Linked DNA regions of Drosophila melanogaster. The protein of the gene in region 2 purifies or fractionates together with the protein of the main gene of each other region. This does not show direct contact. Each region holds a gene or a part of one and is shown on either strand. Other genes may lie near its edges.

The links.
Region 1: the proteins of eIF2Bepsilon (region 2) and CG3511 purify together in Drosophila melanogaster (affinity purification with mass spectrometry, with the first as the bait; one large-scale study listed by BioGRID). This does not show direct contact.
Region 3: the proteins of eIF2Bepsilon (region 2) and CG1529 purify together in Drosophila melanogaster (affinity purification with mass spectrometry, with the first as the bait; one large-scale study listed by BioGRID). This does not show direct contact.

What each region holds. Positions count from the first base shown.
Region 1 is NT_033778.4:24,567,962-24,575,003, forward strand, and holds CG3511 (uncharacterized protein), read left to right. Parts: upstream 1-3,665; 5' UTR 3,666-3,746; exon of another isoform or gene 3,747-3,810; 5' UTR 3,811-3,944; coding exon 3,945-4,113; intron 4,114-4,163; coding exon 4,164-4,367; intron 4,368-4,424; coding exon 4,425-4,608; intron 4,609-4,662; coding exon 4,663-4,895; intron 4,896-4,953; coding exon 4,954-5,167; intron 5,168-5,220; coding exon 5,221-5,523; intron 5,524-5,590; coding exon 5,591-5,709; intron 5,710-5,854; coding exon 5,855-5,975; intron 5,976-6,034; coding exon 6,035-6,254; intron 6,255-6,322; coding exon 6,323-6,469; 3' UTR 6,470-6,542; downstream 6,543-7,042. Other genes in the region: Fcp1 (TFIIF-interacting CTD phosphatase), read right to left, coding at 499-641, 699-908, 979-2,148, 2,211-2,392, 2,474-2,910, 2,973-3,066, 3,157-3,563; Start1, read left to right, coding at 7,029-7,042.
Region 2 is NC_004354.4:1,918,248-1,926,336, forward strand, and holds eIF2Bepsilon (eukaryotic translation initiation factor 2B subunit epsilon), read right to left. Parts: upstream 4,628-8,089; 5' UTR 4,577-4,627; coding exon 4,484-4,576; intron 4,421-4,483; coding exon 4,296-4,420; intron 4,223-4,295; coding exon 2,934-4,222; intron 2,869-2,933; coding exon 2,582-2,868; intron 2,521-2,581; coding exon 2,305-2,520; 3' UTR 1,919-2,304; downstream 1-1,918. Other genes in the region: mip130 (Myb-interacting protein 130), read left to right, coding at 1-1,687; Ocrl (oculocerebrorenal syndrome of lowe), read left to right, coding at 5,511-5,618, 5,852-6,038, 6,281-6,542, 6,604-6,789, 6,856-7,188, 7,256-8,089.
Region 3 is NC_004354.4:21,028,152-21,035,487, reverse strand, and holds CG1529 (uncharacterized protein), read left to right. Parts: upstream 1-3,537; 5' UTR 3,538-3,628; coding exon 3,629-3,901; intron 3,902-3,954; exon of another isoform or gene 3,955-3,965; coding exon 3,966-5,231; 3' UTR 5,232-6,836; downstream 6,837-7,336. Other genes in the region: CG1532 (uncharacterized protein), read left to right, coding at 7,213-7,308.

The sequences.
Region 1 (7,042 bases), on a different chromosome or scaffold from region 2:
AAGAGTAAAACTTCAGCTGGATATTACTAGTATATTTGTTCAAGTTTAATGTGAATTTGTATTACAAACACAACGCAAACAATAAACAACTACTGGTGTGGTGTACATTCGTTTTAAAATTAAACACTAGGTACTAGTCCGCTGAAACGGAATTTATTTTTAAAACATTTACATTTACAGTAGGCTTCAATTTACATTAGATCAGAATGAGAGTTTTTGATTCAAGAATGTACGCGATTGAAGGACCTGGCCGCCCGCACGTGTGCGCTATCTTACAGGCTATTCTAAAGTACATATTAACAGCTAATACATACAGTACGAACCCTAAGCATAAGTGTAGTTGGACGCTCTACTCAAGGACACAGCCCATTCCATTGTGTTCAATCATGGTCTACCGAGAATCAAATATGTCTTGAGTGTCTGGCCAGCAGGATGCAGGGATGCCTCCAACGCGGGGTCTCATGGCCCTGTCTGGTGTTCACAGATGCTACAGAATTTCTACATGTCAAAGTCCTCCAGGCCGAGGAACTCCCTTTCTAGAGCGGCGCCCATCATGTTCCATTCGCCGTCGTCCTCGTCCTCCGGTTCCTTCTCGCTGTTGGACTCGGATCCAAGCTCCAGGTCGGAAGGCAGGTCTTCCCCTGGAACATTGATGCAAATATTAAAAGGTTAACACAAGTTTTGTGCGGACGGGCTACCTCGCCTAAACTTGGCGCTGGGCATCTCATCGTCATCGTCCTCCTTCTCGTTATTGTCATCGGCCTCCTCGTTCGAGCTAATGTCCACCTCCACGAGGTTTGGCGCTCCAATCATTATATCATCGCTTCGCGTGAAAAAGTCGTGAGCTCTGTTGGAATTATCATCTTCGCGCTTTCTCTTCAACAGCTTCTTGTCCATTGGTGGATTTTCTTGAGTTATTAAAGACGTATTCGATTAAACGTGGATACAGACACATGGATTAATAAGTAAAATACCTACCAAAATTTACAGGACCCTCGTCGCTGGACGAGTCTGACTCGAAGAATGTTTCGTAGTCCTTATTCATAGACTCGATATCTGCGTTGGTGAAGACCAGCAGCGGATTCAGCGTTTCGCGGAAGTTGCCGCTCTGCTCCTCCTGCTGCTTGCTGCTCGAGGGTGAGATCTCCGAACGCTCGCTGTAGTTAACCACGTGCTCGGGACTATGGCAATGGGCGGGTGGCTGGCGACCCTTGTTGCGTACCTTGCGGTCCAGTGGAAAGAGCTTCTCCTCCACGTGCTCCCAGCGCTCGGCGCAGGTCCACAACCAATTCGCATTGACCACTTTAATGGCAGGCTCTTTTTTGGCGGCGTTAACCTTGTAGGTGCCTGCGTTGACCGCCACTAGATGCGTTATCTCCTTGTCAATATTGGGCTTCACTTCGGCGCCCAGGCTCTTGGCTATGAAATACGCCCGCGACTGCTCGAGCTTCATCTGCGTGGGCACCAGGCCGGAGAACACCAGGTTCTTGCCGCGCAGCACTTCGCTCCGAATCTTCGGAACGATAACCTTTAGATCGGGTATTTCCGTGGTTTCGTCGTAAATAGAGTAGAATCGCTTGTGAATGTTACGAAGTATGACCTCTAGATACAGCAGGTAATCGTCGGGGTCTTCAATCTCTATCTGCTTTTGCCCCTCGAGCGGTGCTCGTAAGCTGGGCGTCTTAGACGTGGTGGCCACATCAGCGTCAGCAGACGGGCGCTTCTCATCCGGCGAAGTGGTGGATGAGGCTACAACCTCATTCTTTTCTGCCGGTGTGGGGGGCACCTCGGCTTTTGTGCTCTCCTTGGAATTATCATCAATAACTACTACGTCTTCGCCATCGCTGGCTGCTTTTTCAGCATCTGGTGAGCCAGATGAGCTGTCGTCTATGACCACAATATCCTCAGCATTAGTCTTGCCATTCAATTTGTCTCTCGGCTCTTTGGGTGCTTCTGTAGCGCTTGAGGCGTTGGAAACCTCTGGATCCTTGGCATCGCCCTCTATTTCGAACACGTCTACTGACTCCTCGTTTACATCGTCATCTTTGCTTGTGCTTGTGACGGTATTATCACCCTTATCGGTGTCTTCTGGTTTGACTTCGCTGCTGGATTCCGTCTTATCTTTGTCCCCATGCTTCTCGGTAATCTCTGCAACAAATGGAAATATCGTTAGAAACATTCAAGTCAGCTTGCTGGAACACCCAACCCACCTTTAAAGTCAACGCCTTCGCCATCCAGTTCATGCTTAGACAAACCCGGCGGGGCATTGATGTCACCAGTGTGTTGAAAGAAGTGGTAGGGCTTAACCTGAATCAAATTTGAAGCCATGTTCCACACATCCTCGCGATCGTCAATGATGCACACCATGGAATCGCCATTCGGAAACAGAGCCCTGTAATATACAATTTGTAGATTATTGTTTAACACGTTTAACAAGTGAAAATCCAAACAGCTTTCAGGTATAGAAACGCACTTTAAATTGTCCGTCTTGCTGGTGGCGTTGAAACACTCGTCTCTGGACAGAATCCTGTGCGAGAAGAACTTGCCCTCCGGGTCCAGCAGCTGGGCAATCATGTGCGCGTAGTTACGCGCACCAAAAGTGCAAATGTGCAGTTCGTACAGCTGGGACATGCGCTCCAGAAACTCGGCGGTGCCGGGGCGCAGGCGCGTGTGGTACCACGGGGAATGTGGGCCGTACAGCTGGAAGTGGTAGATGCCCTTGATGTTGTCCGGCACAGTGTCGTTGGTGGTGTGGATCACCGTCTGATCGAGATCGACAAGCAGGACCAGCTTCCTATCCGCCAGCAGGCGGCGGGTGTCGTCGTGCCCGAGCTTCTGGGCCAGCTTCTGGGTGACCTTAAGATCGGGCATGGTGTGCACCATTGGCACCGAGGCCTCGGAGGTCTGTCCCTGCGGGTTAAATGTTTAATTATTCTATATGCCCCTTGAGGTGGGTGGCAATGTGCACTCACATTCTCGTTCTGACGCAAGTCGGCTCCGCAGTCCGCGCACATGTCCTTGATGACCGTGGTGTGTATGCACTCGGACAGCTCCAGAATGGCATCCCTAAAGAACAGGCTCGGTTAGTGTGTATACGGCTGCATAATTGCATTCCCCCACGCCCAATCGCCGCCCGATTGCAACCCCCAAACTCACCCCTTCGTAAGAAGCTCCCCTTCCTTGCGAAGGCGCTTCTTCACCACTCCGGCGCGCTGGGACTTGTACCTCTGGATGGCACAGTCCCCGCCCGGCTTTCCCGCGTCCTTCGCGTCCTTCGCGTCCACGCCCACGGGCTGGTAAAGAAACAAGATTTGGGCCGCCGACACGAATTGTCCCTCGCGAACCCGCCATTTATTGATTACCGCTCTCGCCTCGTTCTCTCCCAGCGCAGCTCTCAAAACAATGATGCCGCCACCGCTGGTGTTGTTGTTGCTGTTGCCGCTGGCGCTGTTCTTGGCTCCGCTTCCTCCGCCGCCATCGTCGCCTTCGGCAGCTCCAGATGCGGCCACGCCCCCTGGCGCGCGGCTGGGCGTCGCGCCCTCCTCGTCCGGTATGTTCTGCATCGCAAGGCTTACGTTTTTATATACAAACGATTTGTTTAAATCCCAGTGCCTTGTTGTGTTTGCAATTTGTGTGAATATTGCGCGGAATTCGCATAAGAGCGCGGACAACTTTTGTAACTGCTCTCAAACAGCTGACTGAGCGCGAAAGGCGGAAAGTACTGATGGGGGTTTCACTTCGATTTGGTTAGTTAATGTGCGTAATTAACCATTAATTGGTAATTCAATTTATTTTACTCGTTTCTTTTAGTTTTGAGTTAAAATACAGGATATTCGTCCAAAGATATCGCAGAATCATTTGAATCAGCTGCTTTTGACCGTTAACCAACACTGTTTAATCGGCGGCAAACTAGTTCAGTCGTATTTTGTTTATTAACTTCCAAAATGAGTGATAAAACCAAGGAAGACCTGAAGCGCAGTGCCCCGGAGGAGGAGAATGAGCCCCAGGAGGAATCTGTGTCATCCGAAAAAGAGGCGGAAGGCGAGGAAGACGCCTGGATTGGACCCATGCCTTCAGAGCAGAGCGCTCCCGCGCCCGCCAAGAAAAAGAAGGGTTATTATTAAGAATTAGATTTCATTTAACTATAACTAATCAATAAATAGTCCTGCCCTATGAACACATCTACCTGGAAAACCTGCCCAATGCTGAGAGCTACGAGAGGAGCTACATGCACCGCGATGTGATCACTCATTTGGTGTGCACGAAGACGGATTTCGTAGTGACCGCCAGTCTGGATGGACACATCAAATTCTGGAAGAAGGGCGAGCTGGGCATCGAGTTCGTCAAGCACTTTCGCAGCCACCTAGGTGGGTTCTTGATCCACATAACGTGTATTTCTTCGTTTAACCAAGTGTTTGTTGCAGTACCCATCAAATCACTGACCACCAACGACAGCGGCACGCTGCTCTGCTCGGCGGCCACGGATCAGACAGCCAAGGTCTTCGATGTTGTCAACTTCGACATGATCAACATCATTCGATTGGGCTACACACCGCAGTGCAGTGAGTGGATAAATGGGCCGGGAGATGCCGTACAAGCACTGGCCATGTAAGTACCTTATCAATATCTGGAGATTAATGATTCTGATTGCTCCTCCTCCAGCTCGGATTCAGAGAGTAGCCGCATACACATCTACGACGGGCAAGGAGGCGGAGAAGCCCTTCACACCTTGGAGAAACTTCACTCGGCGCCCGTGGTGGCGATGTGCTTGAATGTGGCCATGGAGACCGTCATTTCTGTCGATCGCAATGGCATTCTCGAATACTGGCAAAACTCGAAGTACGACTACAAGTTTCCACAGCGTCTGGTGAATTTTGACTCCAAGCTAGACACAAGTATAGATCGATGATTAAGCTGAGTGAACCTAGACTCATCTAAATATTAACCTTTTAGGCCTCTTTGAGTTTGCCAAACAGAAGACCCAAGTCACGGGTTTAGCCGCCACGCCGGATGGAAAGCGTTTTGCCGCCATTTCCACAGATCGTAAGGTCCGCGTCTTTCAGTTCAACACGGGCAAGTTGATCCGGGTATTCGATGAAGCTCTATCTACATACACCCAAATGCAGCAGACGAAGCACGCCCTGCCCAACATGGAGTTTGGCAGAAGGTAAACTAGAATAAAATAGTTATTATTTATTGGTTTAAAGATATGAATTCCAGAATGGCGGCTGAGCGGGATCTGGAGAAGACTGCCCAGAATGCAACCCTTAATATTTTGTTCGACAGCACTGGCAACTTCTTGCTCTACCCAACGATGTTGGGCATCAAGGTGATCAATGTGGTAACGAATCGCTGCGTCACAATTCTAGGAAAAACCGACAACATACGGCCCCTCCAGGTGGCCTTGTTTCAAGGAAGAATTAAGCGCCAAAAAGCTGCTATAACAATGGAGCAAGAGGCCAGTGAAAACCCAGCACTCCAGAATATCCTTAACGATCCAACAGCCTTTTGCACTGCTTACAAGTTAGTTCATACCGTTTTGAATTATATCTATGCTGTATTATAATGTCCATTCTACTACTCTTATTAGAAAAAGTCGCTTCTATTTGTACAGCCGAAGACTGCCCTCGGATCTGCAGGATGTCGACCGCGATATTTTCAACGAGAAGCCCTCGAAGGAGGACATTATCGCCGTGCCGGAAGCTTCAGGTATTTTGGTTTGGCTTATCCCATTAACCTTTCTTAACTAACCCAAAACATGTTTCTATTGCACGCCAACAATATTTTAAGACGAAGGTTATTCCTATCAGATATTTCAAGAACAATTCATTACAAAATGTTCCTTCTATTCTAGTCGTGCAACGCATCTACGAGAACGTGGTGCTCCACACCACGAAAGGCGATATCCACATGAGGCTGTTCTTCAAGGAGGTTCCAAAGACGGTTGAGAACTTCTGTGTTCATGCGAAAAATGGGTATTATATATACGTCAACTGTTGAGAACTGTCCCATTGCAATCACATTATTTTGTCAGGTACTACAATGGACACATATTCCATCGCGTGATCAAGGGCTTCATGGTGCAGACTGGCGATCCCACGGGAACGGGCACGGGCGGCAAATCCATTTGGGGAAGCGATTTCAAAGACGAGTTCGTGCCGAGCCTGAAACACGATCGGCCCTACACGGTCAGCATGGCTAACGCGGGTCCAAACACGAATGGAAGCCAGTTCTTTATCACAGTCCTGCCCACGGTAAGGATGAATGCAGCGGTGATTAGTTTACTTTACTGGATTGACTAAGTACCAATCTCTAATTGCAGCCCTGGCTCGACAACAAGCACACGGTGTTCGGAAGAGTTTACCGCGGCATGGAGGTGGTTCTCAACATTTGCAATTCCAAGGCGAATCCCAAGACGGACAAGCCCTACGACGACATTAAAATTATTTCGATACACTTAAGTAATTGAGCAGAGGGCTAAAATAAAACTTTCAGCGACACTGGTTTTCAAATCTTCGGAGAACCGCCAATGCGCCGCAAAGAATTTTGGTATTTTTTTTTAACTCGGTTTTTTTGGTGTTTTCCCAGCCCGGCACACTAAACAGCTGATTCGTTTCTTGCATTCGGTGTTCCTTTTGTTTCGATAGTGCAATTAATATAAATTGGGACAACTGCAAATCTAATAGTATTATTAGAACCGGAATTAGTTGTGCACCTTCTAGTATTAGAGACTTATTAACATAACCAACCTGTGCCTACCGGAAATATAGAGGTACTTCTCGCAAATTATGCGGGTTCTTGCAAGATAATACGATACCATTTGTTTATGGCTGAGTAAAAAAAAAACAAAGAACTCCAGGCTGACGAGTCATTTGTGCGTATCGGCACTGAATCTGCTCCAGATTCGAAAACTAGGTTTATTTACATTTGCATGCAAAGGTATATTGTCTTCGATATGTGAATTGTAGTATACGTACATAGTTGCCTTTATTTCCAGACATGAGCTAGGCCAAATATAACCGCTCGCCATGTCCAATATGGA
Region 2 (8,089 bases):
CTTTGCGGGCACTGTGGCCGCCTACGACTCACTAAACGCCATGTACCGAGTGACCTTCGAACGAATCGGCTTGGGCACACACGCCATCCCCGACTACGAGATTGTGTCGGAGAACTTTCACGAGATGCTGCCTCTGCACAGCTTCACGAAGGATTTCCGGCCGAACTTGATGAGCATCTATCAAACGAATAACCTCGGCTTCACCACCAATCTGGGCTTCACGGCAAATCTTACCAACAACTATCTGCAGAAGAAGGAAAAAATAGACGGCGGTGCAGGAGCGGCAGCTGGAGCGGGATCACTCTACTTCAAGCCACAGAAGCACCTGGCCACCAATAATGCGGCTGCACGAAATGCGCTCAGCATGAAGCTGAACAAGAGTGATCCGCTGCTGGGACAGGATTCGGTGGGCGTGAGTCCCATTCGGCAGCAGTTGACGAGAAATCGCGGCTACTCCACCTCGCTGTTGGAGCACCTGGTGCGCCTGGAGAAGTACATTGCAGTTAAGGCGGATCGAATCCAGCGGCTCAACAAGATGAACGGCACCGCCGAGCTGGCCATGGGCGATATGATAAGCCATGACGAGAATGGGGATCGCCATCGCCGACAGATTGCAGTCAACTTCCAGCGCCAGTATGCCTTCAACATCGTGACCATCGAGCGCATCAACGCCGAGCTCATGTTCGAGCTCACCAAGGTGCAGGAGCTGTCCTCCAGCCTGACACGCAATCCCAATGTCCAGGCCATGATTTCGCCGACATATTTGCGCGAAGAGTGCCGCGCCAAGGCGTCACAGACGGTCGACGACATCAACAAGGGCATGGTGAAGAATACGCGGATGATAAAGCTGCTGAAGGACCTGACCACGCTGTTGATCGTGACCCAGAATCTCGGCGGCGACTGCGAAGTGAGCGAGGTTAACGAGGTGCTCGAAGGCTGCCTCGAGGAAGTGCGCAGCAATCTAATCTGCAGCGAAAACCGCGAGGTGTTCCAGATGAGTGTCCAGGGGCGGCTGGAGTACATAGCCATGGACATCAGCAGACGCTTGGAGGAGAAGAGCTTGAGTCGCGTGGCGGATGGCGACGACGATATTAAATCGCTGAAATCCGAGGACGAGACCGATGAGGACCATGTGCAGGATCACAAGCATGGGGCAGATGAGGAGCCCGCCGCAGATACCTCCAAGACAAAAGCGAAAGGCAGTCCAAAGCAGGTTGAAGGGAAGGAGAACAGCGAAGTTGACAAGATGGACCACAGTAGCCATCCCATGGACACAGACACAGAGAAGGAAGAGAAACTGGAATCTGGCGGGTCGGAAAACGCAGGGTATGCGAGCCAGCAGCGACAAGACGAGGATCAGGACACCGAGGAGCAGCACCTCGATCTGGAGGAGCAGCACCTGGACCCGGAGGAGCATCACCTGGACCTGGAGGAGCAGCACCTGGACCCGGAGGAGCAGCACCTGGACCTGGAGGAGCACCACCTGGAACTGGAGGAGCAGCACCTGGACCCGGAGGAGCAGTCACTCAATCCGGCTGTGACCGAGGACACGCAGATCACCATTGAGTCGATGAAGGAATCCGATGAGGAGTTTCAATCGGCCGCCGAGACCGAGGAGGACGACATGGTCGGCCTGATCATGGAAGAAGAGGAGGAAGAGGAGTTTGTGTACGATAAGGATCTGTAGAGGACTAATCGATGTCCAATACCCGCATCTTTAGTCTCTTTTCTACGCCGGCCTCCTGGACTTTAGCTTAGGTAAAAGTTTTCGTGAAAAGTTTTCAATAATACGCTGCAATAGGAAATTTAACAAAATAATCCGCATAGCTTTCTGACTGACTATCGTTTTTTTTTTTAAATACCAGGAAAGGGTTTTTAAAAATTCAAAAAGCATTGGTACTATTACACTTTTTTAAATATTGCATTGACTTTGTAAGAAAGTTTAATAACAAATTTATAGCAAGTCTTCAATAAACAAGAAAATATTTTTTTTTACAAATTTTGAATTTTTCTAAGTGGAACATTTTTTGCGAGAAATGTGAAAAAATAAAAATGTTCAGGCTTGAATGTCAGTCGATTTGGATTTTAATTACAAGCTCAACGATGCATCACACTTCATCTTTCGCCAATTATTTCCGACGTTGTGGCCAAAAAACTAGCAGATTTCGGACGCAAAGTCGAAATTTGGCCAAAATATGTCGATGTGAATTTTCGAGCGACCTTACATTAATTTTCCATTTCCTTAGAATGAGCAAGGAAATGACTTAAACAAATGGGAATAAAGAATAAGGGCTACGACTTTGCTTAGTCATCGTCCTCCTCGTCATCATCTTCTTCGCTGGATTGATCCAACCAAGCCACGAGCTTGGCGAGGCTTTGGCGCAGGTGTGCATGCTCCTCCTCGTCCAACTGCGCGTACCACGCCTGAATGGCACTCTCGGACACAAAGTCCTTGTCGTACAGATAGTGCACGATCTGCGAGATCTTCCCCCGCACTAGATGATTCTCCTCGTACACATCCTGCGGGAAAAGGGATTGGTAAAGTGGGTGTGGGTTTGTGTGAAAATTATGGGGACTTCACCTCCAGCGCCTTGAGACAATCCATCATGGAATCCTCGCTCTTAATGTAGTTGGATACCACAGGGCCCAGTTGTTTAAAGGCTGCGTTTATGGCCACTAGTACGTTGTCGTTGGCCGGTTCCACGATGCTCTGCATGCCAAAAACGGCCTTCACCACGTTGAAGTTGACTTCTTTGAGGGACATGTTGTACGCATAGCGCGAGGAGTTGATTTCTAGGACAAGGAAGTCAGGGTTGGACTTCTCCCGGAAGCCCCGTGTCAAGGAATCGATGACTTCGCCCAGGAAAACTAGAATTGGCAATTGGTAAACATGATTAGAATGACTTTCAACTGCACTTGTGGACAACACTCACTGTTTGTGTCATCGGGCAGTGGCGTTACCGCTCGCGAGGCATCCTCGTCGTCCTCGCTAAAATCGCTGCAGTAACTGATCTCGTCCAGCGGCGCCAGCAAGTCTCCCATTTTGGGTATACTGAGCGGCTGCTGTGGCAACAAGTCCTCGCACTCCGAGTCCTCGGGATCACCCGTCGTCAAATCGCTGACAATATAGGCATGCGGACCGATGGACTTCAGCTCCACTACCACCTCATCATCGCTACGCCGTCTGCTGGGCGTTCTGGTGATAAGGGTCTTCGCCAGCGTTTTCTTGGCAGGCAGCACGCTTTTAGCACCGAGCACACAGCCCGCGCTCACGTCGCAATCCTCGTTGATGATGGCTCCTTCGCCCACCACGCAGTGCTCCAGTCTGCAGTTGTCCATTACGGTGACGTCGGCCATGAGGAACGCATTGGTCAGTCGACAGTTCTTGCCGATCCGGCAATTGGCGCCAATCACGCTGTCACTAATCACTGAGCCACTGTCTACGTGACTGCCCGCTTCGATGACCACGTTCTGGAGCAAAGCCACTTTCGAGACATGCGCCTCGGGGCTCTTGTAGATGTTGTCCTTGTGGAAGACGTACTCCTGCTGCAGCTTGTAAAGGCCTATGTCCGGAACGAAGGGGTAGGCCCACCGGTTGATAATGTCCCGACTAACCAGCTGGTAGGCCGGCCAGTTGTTCACCTTGTGCGCGTACTGGGCTGCCGGGAGCAGTGCCACATATATCCTGCTGTCCAGCAGTTCCTCGTTTATCAACAAACCCCTGACGAAGTCATCACGCGTCTGAAAGTCAAAGTTGTCGTTGAACAGGGACAGCATTGAGGGCGAGCCAATGGCAATCTGCGGATCTAGGAGGTTGTGGTGCAGCGCCACACACGAGTTGCCCAGAAAGACATCTAGTGGTAGTTGGTAGCGATTCTCCTTGTGGTGCATCCGCAGCCGCTGGTGGTAGTGCAGCCGGTCGTTGCGACGGTCCACGGCGATCAGCACCTCGTTGCCAGTGCGCACATTGTTGGCACACTCCTTGAACACCAGCGTGGCGGCCGTGCCCTTGTCGAACTTGGCCTGCCGCTTGTGCTGCTCCAGCACTGGGCGCAGATCGGCATTGGTCACCGTATCGGCGCCGAGCAGAATGAAGTGGCCACGGATCAGCGCCTTATTGTCCAAATCACGCATGGCATCGCCGAAGCAGCGACAACCCTCGCCGCCAATCACATGGACGGTCATCTTGAATGACCAGGCTGCGTCCGTGGCAATGCCGGCCCTGCAAAAAACGCGAATCGAGCGTTTAGCACCCATAATTGCATCATCCTGCCAGCTGCCGCAACTGAACCCACCTGATGTGCTCCCGGATGCTCGAGCGATAGAGGCTGGTGTACACGAACACCTCCTCCACGCCGCTGCGGTTCAGCGCCATGAGAGCGTAGTCAAGCATCCGCACGTTGACCAGCGGCAGCAGGGCCTGCAAAGAATCCAACGGTCGACAGTCAATGGATATTCACCTATTCCAGTGGCGCTCACTCACCGTAGAGCCCTCGTCGGAGAGGGGCTTGAAGTTCCACACATTGTTGTCGGCGATCAGCACCGCCTGAACGATCTCCTTCTCGAATTGGGCCATCTTCTCGCGTTGCAACCCAGTAGTTTCCCCAAAAATTCAACTCGTTTGCTGGCCACTGGAGCGATTGCGGCACGCGGTATGCGGTATGTAATGGCACTTGCAGGCTGGTCACACGCTTAGTCGGGTCGCCAACCAATTCTGATTGGACTCGCTCGAACGCCGCATTTCGTAGCATTGCCACACTGGTCACACCGCGAAAACGGCTACAAGAGTCGCCCGGAAAATAATTGGAAATAAATAATGATCGCAGCGCGGTAATTAGCACGCGTGCCACTCTGTCTGTGCTGTGTGTACTAACACCCACCTCTCCCGCGCCCCATCAGCCGGCCGAGCCTAGTAAGATCGCGCTGGATTGCCAATAATTGTCATCGCATTGCCGATGAATAAGTGCCCCTGGGCGCGAGTGTGTGCGTGTGCGTGTGTGTGCGATACACCCACCTTGATGGAGGCAACAACAACAACAACACAGCAAGCGAGAAAACAAACAAACGGCTGCGATAAGCACTGAACACGATTCCACAACTCAACTGCTCTTCCGCCACGGTCGCGCTGCCCAAGAGCAGGGTCACCCCCCGGCCAGTTGCAGTGACGCCCTCGCCACCAGAAACCAAGCAGCCAGCTCCCAGTCCAGCGAAGACCCGAAGAATTCCCATTCGCAGGCGACCCCGCAGCAGACGAAGACAAGTCACTGGGCGTTCGCGCCAACTATAAATAGAAAAGAGCAACGACGCAAACAAGCAAACTGTCCATACAGCCCATATCCATATCTACACGCACATTTATCGACGCAGAAGAAAAACCCCTCAAGTACTGCCCTTCATTCAGCGATTAGCGCAGCCATCTCTTCGCAAACAGGCGGCGGAGGAGAATCCGACTTGGCGGGGAAAGCGAAGCGCACTCGAAAACCCTATCAGTACTCAGAATCCGGAGACAAATGGACACGTTGAGCGAGGCAGTGGCCAATGGAACCGCGACTGCGGCCACCAGGACGACCAAGGACATTGTCAAGGAGCGCTTCAAGGAGGACGAGACCATAGAATACGTAAGCAATCATCAGATCTGGCGAATCAAAGCAGGCGAAGGTTTAGAAAGGAGTGTTGGTCAATCATGATTGACTTTTAAAGTATAATGACGAATATTAGCAGGAAACATGCTAAATACACTAAAATGATGATTAATTATCGCTAACAAGTAACCTTACGCCTAAATCACACTCACGTCTTCGCTCAGAAAAAAACCTAAAACGGCTGCTATTAAACAATCCTTTGCTTATAGATATTCGAGGCGTATCAGATCAAAGGACCAGAGTACTCCAACCGTCTTCTGGCCCTGGTTTCATCGCAGTCGGGCGGCACGTTTGCCATCATCGCGTTCTCCTACTTGCGCACTCCATTGTCCTCCGCGAACGAGCTGATCATCAACAAGGTGTTCGCAATCGACCACAATTTCCAGTTGCGACAGGGTGAGATGAAGGGTGCATGTTCATCACACAGCTTGACTATGCTAGCCAAACAAATTGCCCAGTAACTGTTTGTCAAGTAGTCACAAAACCAATAAGTTTGCGCTCATTATTGGCCATAACAGATTACGACTGCATTTACTTATGATAATATTGGTATCTCAAATAGTTTCAGCTGAGATGAAAGCAAACTAATTAGTGAAAGCTCGCTCTTTTTCATATATCATTTTCCAAATTTTTTGCAGACAGCAAGAGCTCGATCACCACGCAACAGTTTGACCTGTCCACAGCCGAGGATGGCCCCATCAAGTACTACTACTACGCCACGGAGAGCCACCACTACGAGGAGTTTGTGGCCAAGGTGATTTCCTTCAAGAGCACCATGGCGCAGCATGATCCCGAGACGGTGCTTAACTTCAGGTGGCTGAATGACTACCGGCAAATCGGAGAAGTGAAGCAGGAGCTGAAGAAGCGGGAGAGCGAGTACATTGTCTACAAGGACATAATGTGAGATGGAAAATGCCCTGTCAAGCAAGAGTTCTCACGCACATTTATTCAATCCTTGCAGCATCTACTGCGCCACTTGGAATGTGAACAACAAGACCTGCAGCGACAGCAACAATCCACTGCGAGCCTGGCTGGCTTGCAGTGAGAAGCCGCCGGATATCTACGCGATTGGACTGCAGGAGCTAGATACTCCCACAAAGGCTATGTTGAACTCCACCCAGGTGCAGGCCATCGAGAAGCAATGGATGTGAGTGTGCCACATAAGTTATATAGCCTCGTTACCGAGAGTCTAAGTTGGTTCTTTCTCCCGCAGCGATAAGATGATGGACAGCGTCCACCCTGACGTAGAGTACGAAATCCTGATGTCGCACCGCCTGGTGGCCACCATGCTGACGGTCATCGTGCGCAAGCAGCTGCGGCAGCACATCATACGCTGCCGACCAAAGTCGGTGGCCCGCGGCATCTTCAATACGCTAGGCAACAAGGGCGGTGTCGCCATTAGCCTGCAGCTCAACGAGGGCAACATCTGCTTTGTGAACTCCCACCTGGCCGCCCACATGGGCTACGTGGAGGAGCGGAATCAGGACTACAACGCTATCGTGGAGGGCATACGCTTCGATGATGGCCGAACAATCAGTGACCATGAGTAAGTTTGGGGAAGAAGGCATAAGTATAAGTCAGTATTATTTCACTCCATCTCTGTCTTTTTCTAGTCACATCTTCTGGGTCGGCGATTTGAATTACCGCATCCAGGAGCCGCCCGGCCAACAGCGACCAGGACCACTGAGCGATGCCCAGACATACGAGCTGCTACTGCAGTACGACCAGCTACGTCAGGAGATGCGGCGTGGAAAGTGCTTTGAGGGCTACACCGAGGGCGAGATCAAGTTCCGGCCGACGTACAAGTATGATCCGGGCACGGACAACTACGACAGCAGCGAGAAGCAGCGGGCGCCGGCCTACTGCGATCGAGTGCTCTGGAAGGGCACGCGCATCGAGCAGCTGGCCTACAACAGCATCATGGAGATTCGGCAGAGCGATCACAAGCCCGTGTACGCCGTGTTCCAGGTCAAGGTCAAGACTCGCGATGAGGTCAAGTACAAACGGGTGCAGGAGGAGGTGCTGAAGGCAGTGGACAAGCGGGAGAACGACAACCAGCCACAGATCAATGTCGAGAAGACGGTCATCGATTTCGGGACTGTGCGATTTAACGAGCCGAGCACACGGGACTTCAACGTCTATAACAACTGCCCACTACCTGTGGACTTCAGTTTCAAAGAGAAGGATATACACGCCATCTGCGAGCCATGGCTGCACGTCGATCCGCGCCAAGACTCGCTGCTGATCGACTCCGCCCGAAGCATTCGGCTGAAAATGAACGCCAATGTGCGCACCATTGCCGGCTTGCTTCGCAAGATCCGTGCTAGCGACAACTTCGATATTCTCATCCTGCACGTGGAGAACGGGCGTGACATCTTCATCACGGTTACGGGCGACTATCAGCCCAGTTGCTTTGGCCTTTCCATGGAGACGATGTGCCGCACCGA
Region 3 (7,336 bases), about 19 Mb from region 2:
AGGGGTGGAACAACGTCGATTTTGTCAGACACTATCGCTGACTGCTATTTCGCAACTATCGATTACGATACCCAGGGCTACAGCCCGATGTCCTAATAACGAAATCGGAATTGGAATTTGAAATATGATTCGATGATGATAGGGTCACATAAATGTAAGAACAAATTATTGCATTTCTGTCAGGCGTAATACTTGGTCATTTGGAAAACAATTATTTGTGTTTCATATATTATTTTTTTTCCTCGCTCGGGACGACTTTTCTTTGATTTGTTGTTTAATTGCAGGTCATACTTAAGCTAACGCAACTTACAATCCATTGTAAGGTATCTAAAGTTGATTTTTAGATCCGTTTATTCATAATGTGGAATCGCTTGTATTTTCACAATTTTCAGACGGGAGGGATAAACCAGATATTGAAAGGATGATGTTTTCTTCACATTCGGAAAAGCATATATCCACCCCAATTTATTACTAAAATTAAATATTCATTGCCATTTGAAATGATATTAATATAATATTAATAATAATTTTATTTTCGATATACAAGTTTATAGAATTTATTAAAGCTAGTAAGCTGGATTGGTAACGATATCGATAAGAGTGACCGATCTGGTCACACCGGCAGTGCGTATGCATCGCAGCAGGAAAATTTGCGTTTGGCGCGCACAATTCGTGGCAATGCTCACCACATTTACGGACATCGCGCGCCTGCGCAGGAGTTGCCTCCATCACAACACACACCTATGTTTGGTTCGCAGGATTAGGTTTTTTTTAAATTCGTTTATTTGACATATTACATTTAGCTAAGAACAAAAATAAAAAACAGAAAAACAGTTGGATGGCATATTCAGTATGTGTCGCACGTTTCAAGGCACCTTTGAGCAGCATTATTACCGTCTTGCTGGTCGAGTCGGCAACGCCAACTTCAGCTCCTTGGAGTGCAGGGCGTTGGACATCACCGTGCGATCTTTGGTTTGACACCGTCTTTGCCCTTACTCGGTTCTTCATAGCTAAAGAGGCCATTAGGGATGGTCTGTTGGCTAGCATCAGTTCTTGCGGTGCATTTGGCATGCGAATTCTCCTCCTCCGGCAGCCTCACGCGCAGCTTTAGTTGGAGATCCTTCAATCTGGCAAATGTGTTCTTCATTGCCAGATTAATGCTCCTCACCCCGTTGTATAATATATCTCCCATCTCCTCGATTTCTAGAAAAGGGGGCCTTGCTGGTTGGGCTCTGTTTGGGGGGGAGGTCACTTATAATGGCCCCTTGGGGGTGCCATCGTTTGGCTTATAGGGTGGGGTCCTTAGAACCTTGGACTGCAAGGTGTGCGGCCCTATACCATTCGCCAGGTGATGGTTACGGTGCTGGCCGATGAGGCTCAGACACAAACCATTCCGCCGGCCACCTTGGCTCAGACGCAAAATGGGTTTTTATTATGCTGCTGCCCGGCTGGTCAAGAGAGCAAGCGCAGCGTCATGGACTTAAGGGTTGGGTGTGAAGGGTGAAGTTCCGACGGGGGACTCATAAGCGGAGGGGTTGGCTATTGGTCTGCTCCGTGATTTTTACACTATTACTGTGTGTTAGAGACAGTCACTCCTGTCTCTATTTAGCTGCCGCGACACGGAAAATTTTCGGGTTTTCCAGGAGCGTTAACTCGATTCGCCCGGCTACTCGCGCGCGTCCCCAGTGCTCTGATTACACAGGATTAGGTTTTTTTTTTTTTAATTCGTCTATTGAACATTTAAGATTAAGATTAACAGATTAACAATGTAAAAGTAAGGAGGGCAAATCCAGGACCCCCCGCGGTATGGCCGTGAAGCATTGCTTCGCGAGGACGATCAGGATTTGCAATGCAAAACAAGATTTTTTCGCATGGTGCCAATTGATCAAAAATAATATAGATTTAAAGTCTAAGAACTTCTGAGGTGAAGGGCATATTTTGTCAAATTTACAATGCATGAACATACGTGTGCACACATACAGTTGTCTGCTATTCGCTGTAGCGCTCTCCGCTCTCTCGCTCTCTAACAAAAATTCGAGAGAGCCTGGAGCCACCTCTAGAGCCACGGCCAAAAAATCGTGTGCCAAAAAATCGTATGGCGTTACGCATCTTGTTATTCTAGTGTCTTTGCATAAACCAAATCATAGAATGCCTTAGGATATAAGTCATAAATTCAAGTATCCCATAAGAACCCCAATTCTGGTGACAATAAAAAATCCAGCCTGCCCTAATGTAAACATTAACATCCGCTGCCGAATTCGCTATTCCCACCAAAGGGTCAAAACCGCTAACGCAGCTGAAGTTCTCGGCTGATCAGTACCCATGCGCGATCCACTCAAGAGGGCACCCAATCCACCAGACATAAACATCCGCAGCCGCATTCACGACTCCCACCAAAGGGTCAAAACCGCTTACGAAGCTCAAATCCTTGGCTTATCCCAGCATCCATGCACGATCCACTCAATTCATAGAAATACATAAGAGGAGCCCTCTTTAGCTTAACACATAAAGAAGTAAATTTCAGTCAAGGGTTTGCTAAGCATTCGCTTTGCAACTTACAATTAAATTTAATTCTTTCACTCTACGAATAAGACCTGAATTGTCTCCGCTTCCACACTTTTAATTTTATTTGAATAAATTACAATTCCAATAAATTAATATCATATATATTTTTATATTGTTTTGAAATTCTTACTCGTTTGCCTCTGACTAGGATATTTTCCACATGAACCGCGGTTAACGACCAAAATGGGCAATTCAGGATGACAACTGTTTGTAATTTTTGGTATATTTATATTTATATTTATTTATATTGGGTGATGACTGTAAAATCCTCAGGGCATCCTAGGTTGGGTGGGTGCGCATGTATGTTCATTTGCAATTAATGCTTTTGATTACCTTTTTTTGTTCCTTTGATTATTTGAGATCTTAGGTGTGCAGAGTGGTGAGACGTCGATAGTTATCGATATTTCTATTGCGAGCTGTGTGGTAAGCCTGAGCTAGAGGCACTGCAATAACGAAGGATAAGCAGTTCGTAACAAATTATTGCATTACTGTCAGCCGTAATACTTGGTCATATTTGGAAAACAATTATTTGTTTTTCATATATTATATATATATATATATATATTATTATATTATTATTTTTAGATTTGTTGTTTAATTCACGTTAAGAATCCGTTTTAAGGTCTCTAAAGTTGCTTTTCGATCCGTTCATTTAAATTGTGTAATTTTCAGGCGGGTTTTATTTATAAATAGAGAGGGACCAGATATTGAAAGGATGAAATAAACTGTAATACCGGAAACATCTTACTAGATGCATTCTTCGCATTGGGAAATGTTAATATCCACCCTAATTTATGACTAAGATTAAAAATGCATTGCGATTTCTAATAATATTAATGTAGTATTAATATTTTCGATATACAAGCTTATAGAATTTTTTAAAGCCTATAAGCTGGATTGGTAACGATATCGATAAGAGTGATCGATCAACGGCAGCGCAACAGGTGTCGCCCTCTGGTAACACTGGCGGTGCGTGTGCATCACAGCAGGAAAATTTAAGAGGCGGAAAAAAGAACTGGATTTCCACGTAGAACGTTGCCTTTAACGCGCACGATTCGTGGCGATGTTCACCACATTTACGGACCTCGCGCGCCTGTGCAGGATTTGCCTGCGTCATCTGCGCGACCGCGACACCCACTGTCCCGATCCGCGACTCATCGCGATTCTGCAAAAGTTGCTGGACATCGACATATTGAAGCAGCCGCATGGATTTCCCACTGAGATCTGCAACCTGTGCCACAACGCGGTGGTCTACTTTGACGAGCTGCGCCAAGTGGCAAGGGAATCCAGCCAGAAGCTTATCGGATGGCAGCCAGTGGACATCGCGGTCGACAGGGTGGATATATATGTCCTTTTCGGCTTGTTAAACCTGGATTAATACTTTCTTAGTTCTTTCCTAGGTGAAGGAGGAGCCGCCGGACGAAGGACTCAAGGAAAACCATGAGGAAAATGAGCATGAACTGGAGGAAGAGCATGAAAAGCAGGCGGATGGGCAGCAGGTAGATCTGTCGAAGAAGCAGGAGGATCAGAAGAAGATTCTTGACGACCGGGAGGATGAGGAGTATCCAGATGAGTACGAGAACAGCCAGCAACAGCTTAGCCAAGGCACTGGTAGTAAACGACGCGCTGGCTTGGCCTGCGATCAGTGCGGCAAGCAGGTGTACAAGCTACCGTACTTGGAGGCCCACATCCGCAGCGTCCATCAGGGCTACTCGAAACCCTTCTTGTGCCGCAGCTGCGACAAGTCCTTCACTCGATATGAGCAGCTGCGCTCCCACATGCGCAACGCCCATCCACAGCTGGAGCAACTGCAGCAGGAGCTGCGCGACCTAATCTGCGAGCTGTGCAACCGGCAGTACAGCACAAAGAATGCCTTGGGCGAGCATTTAAAGCGTCATGCCCAGCGCAAGGAGCACGTGTGCGAGCACTGTGGAGTGGCCAAGGTGACCCGAACGGAGCTACTGACCCACCTGCGCACCCACAATCCCACCTGGGAGCGCTTCAAGTGCGAGCAGTGTCCGCAGCTCTTTCGCCACAAGAGCGCCATTAGCCGGCATGTTCGGGTGGTCCACGAGGGTCAGCGGCGGTTCCAGTGCGGTCATTGCGAGAAAAAGTTTGGCACGCATGCCTCGCAGGTGCGGCACGAGCGGCTGCACACGGAATCCACGGGCTCGGGAGAGGCAGCCGAGGAATGGCCCTTTGCCTGTATTCACTGCCAGAAGCCTTGCGTTTCGCGACAAACCCTTGAGTTGCACCTACGAAGGCACCGCGCGAGAAAGACGCACAGAAAACGAAGGGAGCACAGTCGGGAGAGTCAGGAGCAGGAGCAGGAGCACGACCGCGATCAGGAGCAGGGCGCTCGGGAAGCTCAACAGGATCAGCTCCGCAAGGGGGAAAAGCTACGGCAGAGAGATCTCTCCAGGGAAAGCCACCGAAATGAGGTGACCATGCAGACAAGCCAGCGGCCAAATGAGTGTCAACAAGGTCAAGAGTCCTACGATCCGGAACCGGATCCGCTGGAGGCAAGTCAGTGCAAGCTAGAGCAGGAAGATGCACTCGATCCGGAATGGCAGCACAAAATAGAGCAGGACGCAGAATCGCAAGACTCGGCGCGACTGGAAGGGCATTTCCATGACTACAAACCTATCCCTTCGAAAGCCTTATGATCAACTATAACCTATCCATATACGTCCGGTTACATACATCAGGTTAGCGCCCCTTGAGCAAAAATCTTTGATTTGAGATATTTAGAAAACTGTTAAAGCTAGAGTTTTGAAAATTGCTTTTCATTCAAACGTTGAACAATTCTATAAATGTAAAATTTATATAGGATGCAGTTTCTTGTTTATAGATTTTTATTTAAGTAAAAAAAAAATCCATAAATGGGTTAATTAAAATTGGGTTATCAGGATAACGCCCCCTAAGATAATTTAAGTTGGTTCGATTCATTTCGAAAGAAATTGGGATGATTAACACTTAAATATTTAAATTAGAATATTTTTAAAGGAAATTATGGACTTCACACATTCGTCTGGAAAGGGAATCATATATTTTTTTTGTAGGTAATCCAAAGTAATCGCAGACCAATCGAGTTTTATTCCGGTGAACGATTCGTTTTGAGTGGCATATTGTTTACCACCCTCGTATACCTTCCTAGCCAACCATACCCACACGTTATCTATTATATAGTAGTAGTATGGTGGTAGTAGTATGGAATCCATGTTTTTGCCAAACGTGCAGTGTGGATTGAGACACTGTCAATTTGAAAATGTCATTCTAAATTTCCAAAAACGTTTCTAAAGTAGGGAAATGCAGTTTTGAATTATAATCTTTTGCGTTCATTTTTGGTGTTTAAAACTGCAATTTACCTATAACCCGACTGTGACAGCGATCCAAAATGTACGCAAATCATAATAGTAATGAAAAAAGCCGTCTGGTTTCTCCAGATTAAATTTCTTCTTGTCCGAAAATACGACGCCACTCCTTAGACCAAGTCAAATGAGCTCGAGCAAAACTCAGACCCGCTTTTTTTCGCAACTTATTGAGAGGTGGTTTTATTTTCAGTTTTTCGTGTTTTATGTTTAGCTGTCTTAATCACCATTTGAATCAAAGATTTGATCTGGTTTTCAACACTTTTTCTCGAATTTTGGCGGAGAAGTCGTGGGAATTGGGAGGTATTCGAAGTATGGACCTGCGATCTGCCGCGGTAAAGACAAGGTTATTGCCACCATTATTTTTTTTTTCCATAAGTTTCGTTCTTTTGAATAAAGTTTATTATAGGGTTGCGACATCTGGCGGGTTTTCTGAAATTTTATGATTATGAGCATTAATAGAATGCTATGATATTGTATATTTCCTGCAGGGATAACAGGGTTCCTCTTAAAGCAAACTTTTCAATTCAACAGCATAACAAATTTTGTTGTCCTTACCTTAGGACCTTTTTTTTATCCTCAAGGAGAGAGGGAATGTCAGTGAACAAAAAACAACAACATTGATGAATTTTCGTGCAATGGCAAAACCAGAAAATAAAAATGAACGGAGCCATGCAGGGGGCGCTAATCTGATGACGCGTAGTGTATATCCAATGAACTATCATGCAAATGTGGCTAGGACGCATTAGCGAAAATTTTTAAATATCTTACTTTCACGACATTTTATCCTTGCTACTACAATGTATTAAATAGTTTTATATGTTCGCTTACTTCGTATTTTATACGTTTTATATGCTCGCTTACTCCATATTTTAAGTGCCTAATAAAACTGTTGACGATAATTGCTTTTCATGGAAGGACTTTTGTGACAACATTTTGGATATACTCTTTTTTTAAAGTGTATTTGTCAAGTGTAAAATTTTGTGTCACAAAAGGTAAATTCCGATATTCGTTTTTTGAAGGTGCGATAGTCATTAGTTTTTTCCTCGTAGATGTCAATCAGCAAAAAGCGCACTTTATAATTTAAAACTTACAGTGTATTTAAATTTATTATTATTTAGTCTAAACTAAAAAATATCGATACTTCCAAAAGCTCCCGTCGCTGGGAATATTTGCTGTTCTGCGCACGGCCACACTGAAACGGAATGTACATAAACAAGGCCGAAATTCGATCGGAAAGCACTTGCTGAATAAACGCCAGCTGATAAACACAAAGATGTCGGCCATATCGGGACGCGCCCTGCACTATGTGTTCAAAATCGGAGATCGGGCGAAAAACGCCTTCTTCTTTCGGCAAATCTTGGGAATGACGGTAAGCTGGGTGTGGCGGGCGTATCGCC